3 linked regions of the Coturnix japonica genome follow. The protein of the gene in region 2 interacts with the protein of the main gene of each other region in a pairwise test. Links are inferred from orthologs where the notes say so. Each region holds a gene or a part of one and is shown on either strand. Other genes may lie near its edges. The genes, in order: HSPB8, QRICH1 and POGZ.

Evidence for each region.
Region 1: the proteins of QRICH1 (region 2) and HSPB8 interact in binary tests that used the Homo sapiens proteins (3 or more experiments, as listed by UniProt). The two-hybrid records come from large-scale screens. The link is inferred for Coturnix japonica from reciprocal best matches to the Homo sapiens genes QRICH1 and HSPB8.
Region 3: the proteins of QRICH1 (region 2) and POGZ interact in binary tests that used the Homo sapiens proteins (3 or more experiments, as listed by UniProt). The two-hybrid records come from large-scale screens. The link is inferred for Coturnix japonica from reciprocal best matches to the Homo sapiens genes QRICH1 and POGZ.

What each region holds. Positions count from the first base shown.
Region 1 is NC_029530.1:8,626,024-8,630,132, forward strand, and holds the start of HSPB8 (heat shock protein beta-8), read right to left. Parts: upstream 2,839-4,109; 5' UTR 2,411-2,838; coding exon 2,041-2,410; intron 1,278-2,040; coding exon 1,214-1,277; intron 515-1,213; coding exon 355-514; 3' UTR 1-354. UniProt on the Homo sapiens protein: Involved in the chaperone-assisted selective autophagy (CASA), a crucial process for protein quality control, particularly in mechanical strained cells and tissues such as muscle. Displays temperature-dependent chaperone activity.
Region 2 is NC_029527.1:9,125,981-9,129,582, reverse strand, and holds part of QRICH1 (glutamine-rich protein 1), read right to left. Parts: intron 2,302-3,602; coding exon 1,972-2,301; intron 1-1,971. UniProt on the Homo sapiens protein: Transcriptional regulator that acts as a mediator of the integrated stress response (ISR) through transcriptional control of protein homeostasis under conditions of ER stress.
Region 3 is NC_029540.1:2,345,971-2,350,338, reverse strand, and holds the start of POGZ (pogo transposable element with ZNF domain), read right to left. Parts: upstream 2,850-4,368; 5' UTR 2,674-2,849; intron 1-2,673. UniProt on the Homo sapiens protein: Plays a role in mitotic cell cycle progression and is involved in kinetochore assembly and mitotic sister chromatid cohesion.

The sequences.
Region 1 (4,109 bases), on a different chromosome or scaffold from region 2:
AGGCTGCCAAGGGGCCAGCGTGGAGATGGAGTTCAAAACAAAACCAAAAACAGAGAAGAAGAAGACACGGGACCACGGGGTTCCACTTCAACTTAAGAAGAGAAAAGGGCACTTTTTCGCTATTGTTACAAATATCCCATCTGCTCACCTTACAGCATTAAAAGAACCGTAACGAAGACACCCATTCTGCTGGGTCTGATGGATGCAAAGCCTCTACCAGAGTGTCAGACCACTGTGGGGCAGCTGCTCCCAGGGAGCGGGAGGGGCCGTGCCCCGGGGCCACCCCGCTGGGGCCCGAGGAGCGGGGTTGGGGGGGAATAGGGTCGGGGGAGTGGAGCAGGGGCACAGGGGCCCTCAGGCACAGGTGGCCTCTGGGTTCTCTAATGGGATCTCGCTGCCACAGCTGCCCTCGCCGTACTGCTGGTAGGGGGGGATCTGGGGCGCCTCGATGATCAACAGCCCCTCCGGCGACAAGGAGGCAAAGACAGTGATGGGGTCCACCTCGTAGGGCAGCCTGGAGGGGGAGAGAGATGTGTGGGGTTAGGAGATGGCGCAGCCATGTGGGGCTCACAGCCTTCCCACTGAGATTGCCCAGCAGGAACCCTGTCTGGGCTCACAACCCCCAGTTGTGTTACTGCTGCAGTGCCTGGGAATGCATAGGGATATTTAAAGTGGCCCCTGGGCTGCCTGGCGCTCTGTTTAATCTCCGTGGCAGATGTGTTTGATGGGACGTCACTGCTGCCCGCGCTCGCCCGGCTGCTGCGTCGTGCCCATGCCTTGCCCATAAAAGGAGCCTGGCTGCTGGCTCCCACCCGCAGCACACGCGGCTTTGCTGGGAGGTTTTGGTAAAGCGAAGCTGCAGAGCCACTGCTGCACTGCTGTGGTTTGCCCTCGGTGCTGGGCTCGCCTTCCCTCCCTGCTGTTGTTGTTGCTGGGGTGAGTCAGCGCGATAGCAATCAGACTGACATCACTCAGATGTGGATGTGGGTGCACGTGTGGCCGCACACCAGGGATGGGTGTGTTTTGGGGCTGGTGATGAGATCAGCCCCAAAAGAGGAGCACGGTGCTTTGCATCCCTTTCTGCTTTCATATCTGGGCTGGAGGAGCCCACAGGGCTGGTTTGGGGATGGGAACAGCGGGGCTGCGGCCATCGCATGTCATGGGGATGGGGCTGTATTTGTGGGAGGACGCCCCGGGGCAGGGTGATACCTACTGGATTTTCTTGGTGAAGTTCTTGGAGACGATGCCTCCTTCCACCTGCTGCTCCTCGTGTTTGCCTGCGGGGAGGACAAAGGCGTGTCACCACCACACTAGGCTCAGGGCTTAAGCCAACAAGCAAAACAAACCCCAGGAACCCTTCCAAAGGAGTTGTTTTCCCTTCCCTCCGTGGGTGTCTCCCATGTGAGGAGGGTTACACCACAACCAACGAAGAACAGCACTAAGCGTCTGGCCTGTGAGGCTGCACTGGTTGGAGCAGGAGGAGGAGGAAGAGCTGCTCTCCCCGCCAGACACCTTTGCTTCCCATGGAGCCTGAGCCCTGCTTGCTGCCAGGAGCCAGGGCTTAAGAAGGAGCCATCAGACATGATCAAATCTTTGGATCCCATCCCCATCCTCAGCCGCTCTGCTGGGCTGTGTGCAAGCCCTACGAAGATGGGGCTCAAGCTCTGAGGCCTCCTGGCTCCCCCCAACCCACAGCATCCCCCCAGATCAGCCCCTGGAAGAAGTGCTGCGTCCTGGCACGGTGCTGGCAGCCCCAGGAGGTGCAGGGCCCTGGCCAGGGCGCAGCGCTGGAGCTCTGGGAGGTGCTTCAGGCTGCCTCGCTCTCGGCCCCTTTAAAGGGAATCTCCCTCAGCTCCGTCCTCGCTGGCTATAATTAACCCAGCCAGGCTGGGGCCCCTCTCGGCAGCTCGCAGCTGGGTGCCAGCTGGAACACAAATCCCAGAGATTCACCCCAAAGGAGGCTCGGCCTTCCCGTGTTGGTGCTGAGCACGCCACCATGGTCCCCAAGCCCCATCCCACTCCCCAAGCCCCAGCCCTCACCTGACACCTCGACATATCCATCCTTGGTTTTGACCGTCAGCTCCTCAGGCTTGAAGCTGTGCACGTTGACGCACACCTTCCAGGGCTCGCGGGAGGTGGGCACAGGGCTGCGGCTCTCCGGGTACCCCCCAAAGCGGGTGCTGTAGCCGGGGGCCATGGCGGAAGCGCGGGCACGCAGCGGGCCCGGCCAGGTGGGGGTGAGCCGGGGCCGAGCCCAGTCAGGCCAGTCTGCTGTCAGGTCCCCAGGGAAGGGTGAGAGGCCAAAATCATCATCCAGGAGGCGTGAGGTCAAACCGGGCTCTCGGAATGGGTCGCGGAGGCTCCGCCGGCCAGGGTAATGGCAGGAGAAGGGCAGCTGGCTGTCGGCCATGGCTCTATGCTCCTTGTGGAGCCTCAAAGGCTGCGGAATACCCCGGGGAGCCCAGCCCAGGGCAGGCACATCCACACGCGGGGGTTTGGGTGGGAGCCCGGCACCGGGCAGAGCGCGATGGGTGGAAGAGGTTCAGCAGGGCTGAGGCATCCGGAGCTTGGAAAGCAAGTGTGGGGAGGACGGTGTGAGCTGCAAGAAAACGCTTCCTGATTGGCTTCGGTCCCAGGGATCGGGTGGAGGAAAATAAAACTTCTTGTCCGGAGAGGGGGGGGGAAAAAATCAAACCGAATATCCCGAGATTAAGAGCTTCTCTCTCCCCTCTTGCTCCCACAAGCACTGTGCTGCTTCCCCACCGCTCCCGGGTGAGAGCTGCAATAAATGCCTGAGCTCCGAGCCGAGAAACTTCTGCAACCTTCCACCGCCGGGCGAGCGCTATTTATACGCTTGCGGGAGGGGGAGGCTGTGTTTTGCAATTCCTGCCCTGTCAGCCGAGTATTTTGGAGAGGATGAAACAGCCGTGGAGAATCCGGGCTGTGCAGCTGACCTCCTGCGCCGGCCTGAGGATCCCAGCAGGCGCGGTGTTTTTGGCACCTGCCTAAAAATAACTGGGGAGCTCAGGGTGGGCTGCACACACTCCTGTGTCACCCATCAAAAATACCCCCAGGTGGGGCCGGGCCCCACACTGCACACCCACTGCACCCGGAGGTGCGTCACCAGCAAAAAGTGGCTGGGATTGTGAGCTGATGCCCAGGGCTGGGCCTGGAGCAATGCCCCAGAATCATTGGGGTGGGAGTGGGACCCTACGTGGCCCCGTCCTCACCCACCTCCTCCTCCTCCTCCTCCTTCTCATCGCGTGCCTGGCCGTGCCGCAGCAGGGCGAGGCGTAATCACAGCCGCGCGGGGCTAATTACAGGGCTGTAGGGGATGGGGTGCGGCGGGGTACCTGGAGCTGGTGGCACTGGGGCTCCTGGTGGCAGTGGGGTTCCTGCAGAGGGGGTCCCAGCACGCCGATGAGTGTCACCAGTGATGTGCCAGATGCTGCACTGCTTCCTCGCTCCCTCCTGTTTCTACCTCGCTTTCCTCAGCATCTGCAATCTCTCTAATGGACTTGCTGGAATAAATTGCAGCAGGAAGGCCGTAATGCGCTGCAGGCCACGCTGCAATACAGCCGCTGGTGGCTCAGAGGGCATTAATCATGGAGCAGAGACATGGCATCGCTGGGCAGGGCCTTTGCCTGCATGGGGAGCGGCTGCTTCCTGCCCTTATCCCTCATCTTCACTGGTGGGCATGGGGAGACACAGCCAGGCATCATGGGGTCTCCCCAGGGACTGGGCTATGACTGGAGGTGTGGGGAGGAGCAGAGAAGCAGCAGTCAGCAGAGGCTGAAGTGTCCTCTATCTCTTGCCCTGCCTGGCTGAGTGCTCCCATCACCCAGAGTGACACCAACACACAGTTTGGGACAGCCCCATGGCCGCCTCCATCCCTACCACATTTCACCCCGAGATCTCCAGTCCCACATTTCCCGAGTAGCTCCAGGCCATCCTCCCTCCCAGGCCAGGAATCCGTCTTGTCGCCTTGCTTATCCCCATTAGTCACACGTCCCTCTCCAGGAATCCCAATTTAGCTCCTGTTGTCACTCCAAATCTCCCAGTCACCTCCCACAGCTGCCAGCACCGCCACGTCAGCTCTGGGGAGCGCA
Region 2 (3,602 bases):
ATGATCATAGGGCTGTCATCAGCACTTGCAGCCATGAGGTCATCTGACCTGTGATATTATTAGTCACCTTCAGCAACACCGCCACGCTGCCAGATAGAAGCGCAGTCATTCAGAGGGTCTTCACTGATTTGCAATTGGATTAGCAAGAATTAAAAAGGATTATCAAGTCAAGAACTGGGATTATTTAAGTTTGATTAAGATCTCAGAAGATGACCAAAGATTATCATAAAACAGCAAAGTGAGACAGAGGAATCAGAACACACTGCTGTGGTGGAACACTGTCACCCCCAGAGCCCCAACACAAAGCACAGAAGGCAAAACAAACACTACTGTCTGTACTGACAGATGTGAAAGCAGGTATACTAAAGCAGAGTTGCATCAAAGGCAAAGGAGAAAAGTACACAATGTATTTTACAAAAGCTTTTTGAGAGCTTGACTTTTGTTAAGATTTTTTTTCCATTCTCCATAAGGTGCAGGCCATTTGGTTTACAAAACAGGAACATAACTGGCAGCAACTCTATAGTTATTTTCAAGAAGGTCAGGAGCGCGTGATATTTGACCTCCCTCCCTATCTCTGTTACTAGGAGGCTTGCAAGGGTCAAGCCTGAACTCTGAAGAGTTCCAGAAGGAGGCAGCAGTAGGAAACACATGCATTCATACATATTCCTTGTCAACTTTATGATTGGTATGAGGCCTTTAACATCTTCAAGGCTGAGGCACTGAAAAAGCCCTAGTCCTTCTACGAATTCTTCTGCTGAACTGAAAAATGAAACTTCTCCCCCAAAACGTGACAGTAGACAGAACCAGTGCCACCCCTGACCACTTCTAATAGACTCACACAGAGATCTAAGGCATCTATCTGTGAGACTAGAGGCTTTTATTCTTCAAAAGCCTTGTGTCACAAGTTACTGTAGGGCAATGGGTTACAGAAGTCCTAGCTGAGCATTCAGTTACTCAACAGAAAGAGTAATTGGAGACAAGTTACCCAATGAAAGAGGAAAGTTTGTCTTTACGGTAGGATAAGAGCGCACAAGTGAGATGTTAGCACAGGTCTGTACCGCAGCAATGGTACCCTCATCTGTTGCAAAAGAAGAAAGCTCACAACCTTAGATGCAGGCTGCACAAGTCAGAAAGCTTCCCATCTGAAGCGTATCAAAATCACAGCCACAGCCAGAGTTCAGCCATTTGGAGATGCACCTTAAGAGAACCTTGGTAACGCCCCACCACCTATGAGCTCTTTAAGGAGTGTTTGAGGACCCAGGCAGCTGGTCCTCAAAGTTACATATTTTTCTTGATGTCTGATTTTTCTCATTTAATAATTAATACAAATTATTTTAATACCCGATAAAAGAGCTGCAGAAGAATCCTACAACTGTGCAAAAAAGCCAACTTCCATGACATATACGCTCCTTTTAGAACACCTTTCACGAAAAGCATCTTCCTATGGTTCACAACTTACGTCAACTTCTGTGCATTTCTCTCCACCTTTAAAAGCCAGCTCGAGAACTACAGCTTCCACAACATTCAAGTAAAATTATTGGAAGAGTACTGATTTCATAAAAAAATAAGCAAAAAAATAAAAGCAAAAAGAGTGAGATCCCACAGCCACTCTAAACAACAAGAAAAAGCAAGACCAGCAGAGGAGGAAGGGTATTTATAGCTGCTTCACAGAGTGCAAGGCTTCGGGGAGCTGTGTACATGCCAAAACTGTCAACCATTTCTCAAATAGGTTACACCACTACATTGCTATGTATGTTACTCCTCCTACAGCGGGGCTCAATGGAGGCTCAGCAAGACAAATTTACTACCAAATTCCTTAAACAAGAGGGAAACACTGTTCTGTATGAAGCTGAATGGTCCTGCTTCTTAAGCGCCTGCCTCTGGTTTCAGGTTAGCCAGTAGCTGGCTCTGAGCACTATTCTGCAGGTTAACAAGTCATATATACCTCCAAAGATGATTTAAGATGCTTACCTGGACTTGCTGGGGTTGCTGAACCTGTATCTGCTGCTCTTGCTGAGTTTGCTGCTGGACACTGGTTGTCACAGGGCAAGCAAGTTCAAGCAAAGACCCGGCCACCTCTGTGCTGTCCGTGTAAATGCAGTTGCCTCCCTGCTGGTACACCATCGTGGTGGTGGCTGTCTGCTGAAACTCCTGCAGAGCTTCCGGCCCCTTGGAAGCCAGGGAGTCCAGGAACTCCTTCATCCTGTGCTGGGGGATCGTTCGTGCCTTCACACGGATGTATTCTTCAAAGGAAATGGTGTTCTCCAGAGAATTATTCATATTGCAAGGTCCTGAGGGTTCCTTAAGGAAAGAGAAAGTGAAAACTCTTAACTACGGCGCTCCTCTGGTGCAAGGATATTCCCAGCTCCAGTGACTAACTTCTGATACTGAGCACCATATGAAATCCAGCAAACATGTAGGGCCAGATGCCCTGAGACAGATGCTTTAGCTTTGTAAGGCACCTTGCAGCGCTACAAATTAACCCTCAGCAGTTCAGGGAAGTCAGAATGCCACCAGGTACAATCATGACACCTATTTCAAAGAGCTCACTGCCATGTAACACCTTCCAGAATTATATCTCACCCAGACCAGGCGAGTCTCATCACAGAATAAATCAAATCACAGATCTCATTCGTTTGCAGCATGCAACGCTAGCGAGAGAAGTTCAGAAATCAATACACATGGCCCTGCTTCACAGCCATGGAGGTGGGAGAACCAGGCAGGGTGTTCTGCCAGGCCATGCAGCTCTACTCTAAACAGCTAATAGGAAGCGGAACAGAAGAGCAGCAGACGCAGCATTCAGCCCTCTGCTATTAAAACTAGTAGAGACCTATCGATCTGAACACAGCAAGTGAAAGGAGAGCACTGGAATCAAGAGATTCCTCAAACAGAACTACGCACACGGAGAAGCAGAGCACTGGAAATTAAGCAGCCAACAGCAGCATCGGTTCCTGTTACCTTTTTAATATAGGAAAAGATTAACGAGAAACATTTAAAGACAGCAGAGGGACAGCGGCAGTCAGATGATTTGGGAGAGTGAGTGCAAGGAGGAAAAAAAAAGATGACTACACCTGAGAACATTAGAAAGCTCCAGGGTACACACTGGCAGCGTTCTTCTCTTATTGACTTAACTTGTTTAAACCCACAAATTGTTTCTGTCTGCAGTGAGCATACTGCTTGTTTCTAAGGTACTCATTAGTCCCGATACAGGGTAAATGGATTTGAGCTCTAACACCACCAGCTGCTGAGATGGCTGTGAAAAGACATGAAACAGCACAGCATTCAGACTAGGAGAGGAGATGTGTTATTACCAGCGGAGAGGTAGAAAAAGGGACAACATCACTGTATGCACATATTGACTGCAGTACTTAATAGAAGTATGAAAAGCAGAACCCTTAGCAACAGTTCACAGTGATTTAACCAAGCGGAACCAGGACAGAGGTTTTTGATTGAACAGGAGACTGCAACAACCGTGTGAAGACGGGAGCAAGTCCAAGGCTGTCAGTGGCGTAACCGCACTGCCAAGTCCAAGCCCAGCTCCCACCAATACCAGCAAGCGCTACAGTGATCTCTAACCACTCTCTGCTGTTACGTGACAGCAG
Region 3 (4,368 bases), on a different chromosome or scaffold from region 2:
CCTTTTCCCCCAGCTCCCCGAGGACAAATATCAGTGCGAAAAATACATATTAAGAATTAATTGACCCTTCATTTTTCCTCACCACTTGCTGTAAAACAACCTCCATGCTGAGAGTCCGGAGAAGAAAATCTAAGATCTAAAATCAAGGATCCGTTCCTAAGAGACCTACAGACGAGCTGGAGATGACTCAACACGCTCCAAGATAGAAATTAATACATAAACCAACTTGTGAGTGCCCGCTGCTCTCCCATTTTGTCCAACCTTGGTAGACACGCAGGCTCAACACAACTCCTGTCTGGTTACTTTTCTCACTCACTCTTAATAATGTGTATTCATGGCAAGGAACGTACCTTAACTTTTTAAGAGGTTACATTAAATGCAAATGAATCCTGTGATAAAGGTTCCTGCTGTCAAGACACGCCACAATCCCTTCCCTAAAGAAAAGATAATGTTCTTCAGTGGCTCTTAATGAATAACTGGCACGGCTTCGAGCTGATATAATCTCAGTGATGAAAATGTTGGATGATGTTTTCATTAGTGTTTATTTGGCCATTCATCATGAGCAACACCTCTGAAAGAAGGGAGCAGGTGGAGGCTCAGCAGCCACATCCCTCACACGGAGGTGAATTCACTCTGCACTGACTGATGCGCTCTGCTGGGTACCCAGGTTCTTCCACAGCCGTATTAAATTTGCTCTGAATGCCATCATTTAAAGCCCTCTGTATTTTATTAAAGGCTTTGATGTGTGCCATGCCTACTAATTAAAATCTATTATTACACTCAATTTTAATGATTATTATCTACCTTCAAGTTGGAAGTGCTGAGTGATGAAAACAAACCGCTTTCTGCTCTGTCTCTGCAGCTCTGCTGAATACTTGGGGTGTATTTCATCAACATGAGACTACCCTGAAGCTGCTTCTGGAGCCCACAAGCTGCCTGCAGCTCCATTCCTGCCAATGGCACGGAGCGTGGGGCAGGTCTGTCAGAGCAAAGACAGTCGTTGGTCTTTTGACAGACTCCAAGCAGCTGTGGGATCGTGCACACAAACAACACAGCCATATATATCCACAACACGCTGCCATCTGTGAGCAACACGTGCAGAACCCCCCGGCCCAGACAGAGCTCAGAGCTGTGGGACGGCTTCACTTCTCTTCTTAGGCACAACACAACTGCAGATACAATTATAGCCAGGTATGGCACTCCAGGATCCAACTTCCCATCTGCAGCAACCTCAAACCATCAGCGCACAGCAAGACCCAGCACAGGGAAGATGCTGAACTTCTATTTCTTCACAAACCGTTTCCTAAAAGAAGCAACAGATCCCCCCATCCTCCACCCCCAGCACAGCCAAGCTAATAAAACTAACACCATGCATGTTGTCCTGTGGCATGAGTTTCCTGCAGGGCAGTGCAACCCTGTGCACAGCATGGAGTGGAGCAGGGGACACAGAGCTGGGGTGTCCCATTGCAGCCACTGGGCTTCTATGGGACTGAAGGGCAGCACCACAGCGTGGTGGGGGTAAAAACAGTGCAAGTGGGGGTAAAAACAGTGCAAGCAGCTCAACAGCAAGCAGACAGCTCAACACCTGGATTCAGCAGGTGCAGTCAGGAGAAGTGTGGGACCATACAGACATGGAATGGGTTGGGTTGAAGGGGAGCCCTAAGCCAATAGCTCAGGTTGGAAGGGATCTCATAACGAATGGGTTGGGTTGGATCACCTACTGGTTAGATTGAGTTGGAAGGGATCAATTAGCAGACAGCACAGGGCTGGGAAGGATTGTTTGGTGAACGAGTTGGGTTGTGTTGGAAGCAATCACTTTGTGAACAGACTGGAAAGGATCCCTTAGCAAACAGCTCAAGGCAGAAAGGATTCCCATAGCAAATGGATTGGACTGCAAATGGGTTGGGTTGGATGGGAACTTCCAGACCCCTGAACGAACAGGGTGGGCTGGAAACTACCACTTGATAGTTGGGTTGGGCTGGAAGGGCCGTTCTGATCCCCCGCCCGCAGCCCCGCAGTGCTGCACCCAAAGCCCCGAGCTCCACCACCACGGGCACAGCGCGGGGGCTGCTCACCCACCGGCCCACGGCTCCGTGTCACCAACAGCCACGGACACAAAGCAGCGCTCAGCACCGCCCTGCGCTCAGCGCCCTTCCACGGGGTCGGTGCGAAGACTGACGGGCCACGACCCCCCTCCATCACCACGGAGCGCCCCACAGCGCTGAGGGGCCGGGGAGAGGCTGCAGGCCGCAGGGGGGCACGGGGCCTAAGGAAGGGCCTGTCGGCACAGAACGCGGCCCCGCTCCGGGCTGAGCGCGTCGTGCCTGGGAGAAAGGCAGCAGAAATAAGCCCGGTGCCCAACATGGCCGCCCACCAATGTTGGGGGGGGGGACGGAGCTCTGGGGTGGGGGGGGACGGGCCGGGGAGTGTAGGATCCGCATCCCGCGATCGCGGGGGGTGTGAGAGGATCCCTCGCCCGGAGCTCCTCCCCCGCCCCCCCATTATCCTCGCGCTTTGTGCTGTACGCGCCCTCAATCCCTCCCAATCCTCCCACATCCCAGGTGTGAGAGCGGTTCAAACCTCCAACTCCCCCCCCCCGATCCCTCCGCCCACGGCACATAACGGACCGCGGCCTCCTCCTCCTCCTCCTCCCACCCTCCGCCCGGCTCTCACCTTCCCCGCTCCGCGCGGTCCCTCAGCCCCGGGAGCGCAGCGCAGGTGGCATCGGGCGGCGGGCGGAGGGCCGGGGGGGGCGGGAGGAGGAGGAGGAGCCGCGGCGGGGGGATACACGCGGCGCCGCCGCACTCCACACACACACACAAAAAGGGGACCGGGCGGCGGAGGGAGACGGTGACGTCACTTCCTGCCGGGGCCGAGATGCTCTGCAAGGATTGGTGGGCGTCTCGATGACGTCACGCGGAGGGCGGGGCTTCCGCCAACGCCTCCTCAGGGGCGGTGGAGTGGGGCGAGATAAGGGGGGGGGGGTGTGTGGGCTGCGCTTATCTATGGGGTCCTTATGGCCTCCTCCTCATCTCCAACCCCATCTCCATCCCCAGCCCATCATCCCATCCCCGCTGTCCGCAGGTTCCACATCTCCGTGTGGAGAAGTAGTGGAGATAGAGTTTTGAGGGCCCTGGTTGGGTAGGGGCTGGATATGGTGATCATAGGAGCCTTTTCTAACCTTATTATATATATTTATAACTATATAATACAGTTCCTGGCTTTGGGTTGGTGTGTGTTGAGCACCCAATGCCACCATTGCGGTTACTGAGTTGTATGGGGTTCTCACCACCAGCAGACAGCTCCATTTTGGTGCTTGGCAGTGCTGTTCTGAGCCAGGCCTCCACTTTTAACCTTTAGGTTTTAAGGAGACATTGAGAAGAGCTGCTGAAACCCCTCGTCCATTAGAAGGAACATTGCGCAGGGCTTGAGATCCACATTGCAGCCAATGATGCGGTTCTGGTGTCTCCAGGTGACCAGGAGGTAAGTGTGGTGATGGAGGAGATGTGGGAGACCTTATTGGTGAACAAAGAGGCAAATCGGTTCATCTCCCTAATGTGAAACTCATAATTAATGTCAAAAGTGGACACCAGTGTCACTTCTGAGGGACAGCTTCAAGGTGAATGCTTTGGAGTGAATGGCCATCAGCATCTCCACAGGTTCCTAAACACAACTGCTGAGGTAGATGCAGTAAGAGAATGCCTTCAGGATCTGTCCCCATAGGATCGCTGGGGTTGGAAAGACCTCTAAGATCACCAAGTCCAACCCACCCCCACCCCACCATGCCCACTGCCTACATCCCTCAGTCCCACATCCACCCTCCTCTTGAGCACCTCCAGGTCAGTGATTCCACCACCTGGGTTGAGCAGTGTGCCCTGCAGCCTGAACCCAACATCATGTCTGTAAGCATCCCAAACATAACCAAAGCAACCACAGAAACACTTTACAGTTGTGCATTTCCTCACTATGTGTCTGGATCAGTGCCACCCGAGTGCCCTGCACTGTCGTGCCAACAGATCTCCCTGGGATTCTCCTTACATTTCCCCCACGGATAATTTCAAATGATTCATGTCTTTAATAATAAACTTCTTACTGTGAATAATTCTGTCGTGATGGGCCACACAGCTTTTGGCTGCATATGGTACAGGCTGAATACTGAAGATAATACAGTGAAAACTGATAATGCTTGTTTTTATCGACTGCCAGCATATTTTGCATAGAATCGTAGAATAAATTGGAGGGGACCATGAAGATCACCCAATTCCAACCAACCAACGTCGTTTTTAAGACACACACAAGTGTGCACTTCAAATCCAAGAACATTTGCATCTCCTGCATCCTTTGAAATGTCGTTTCCTTCATTCTCAA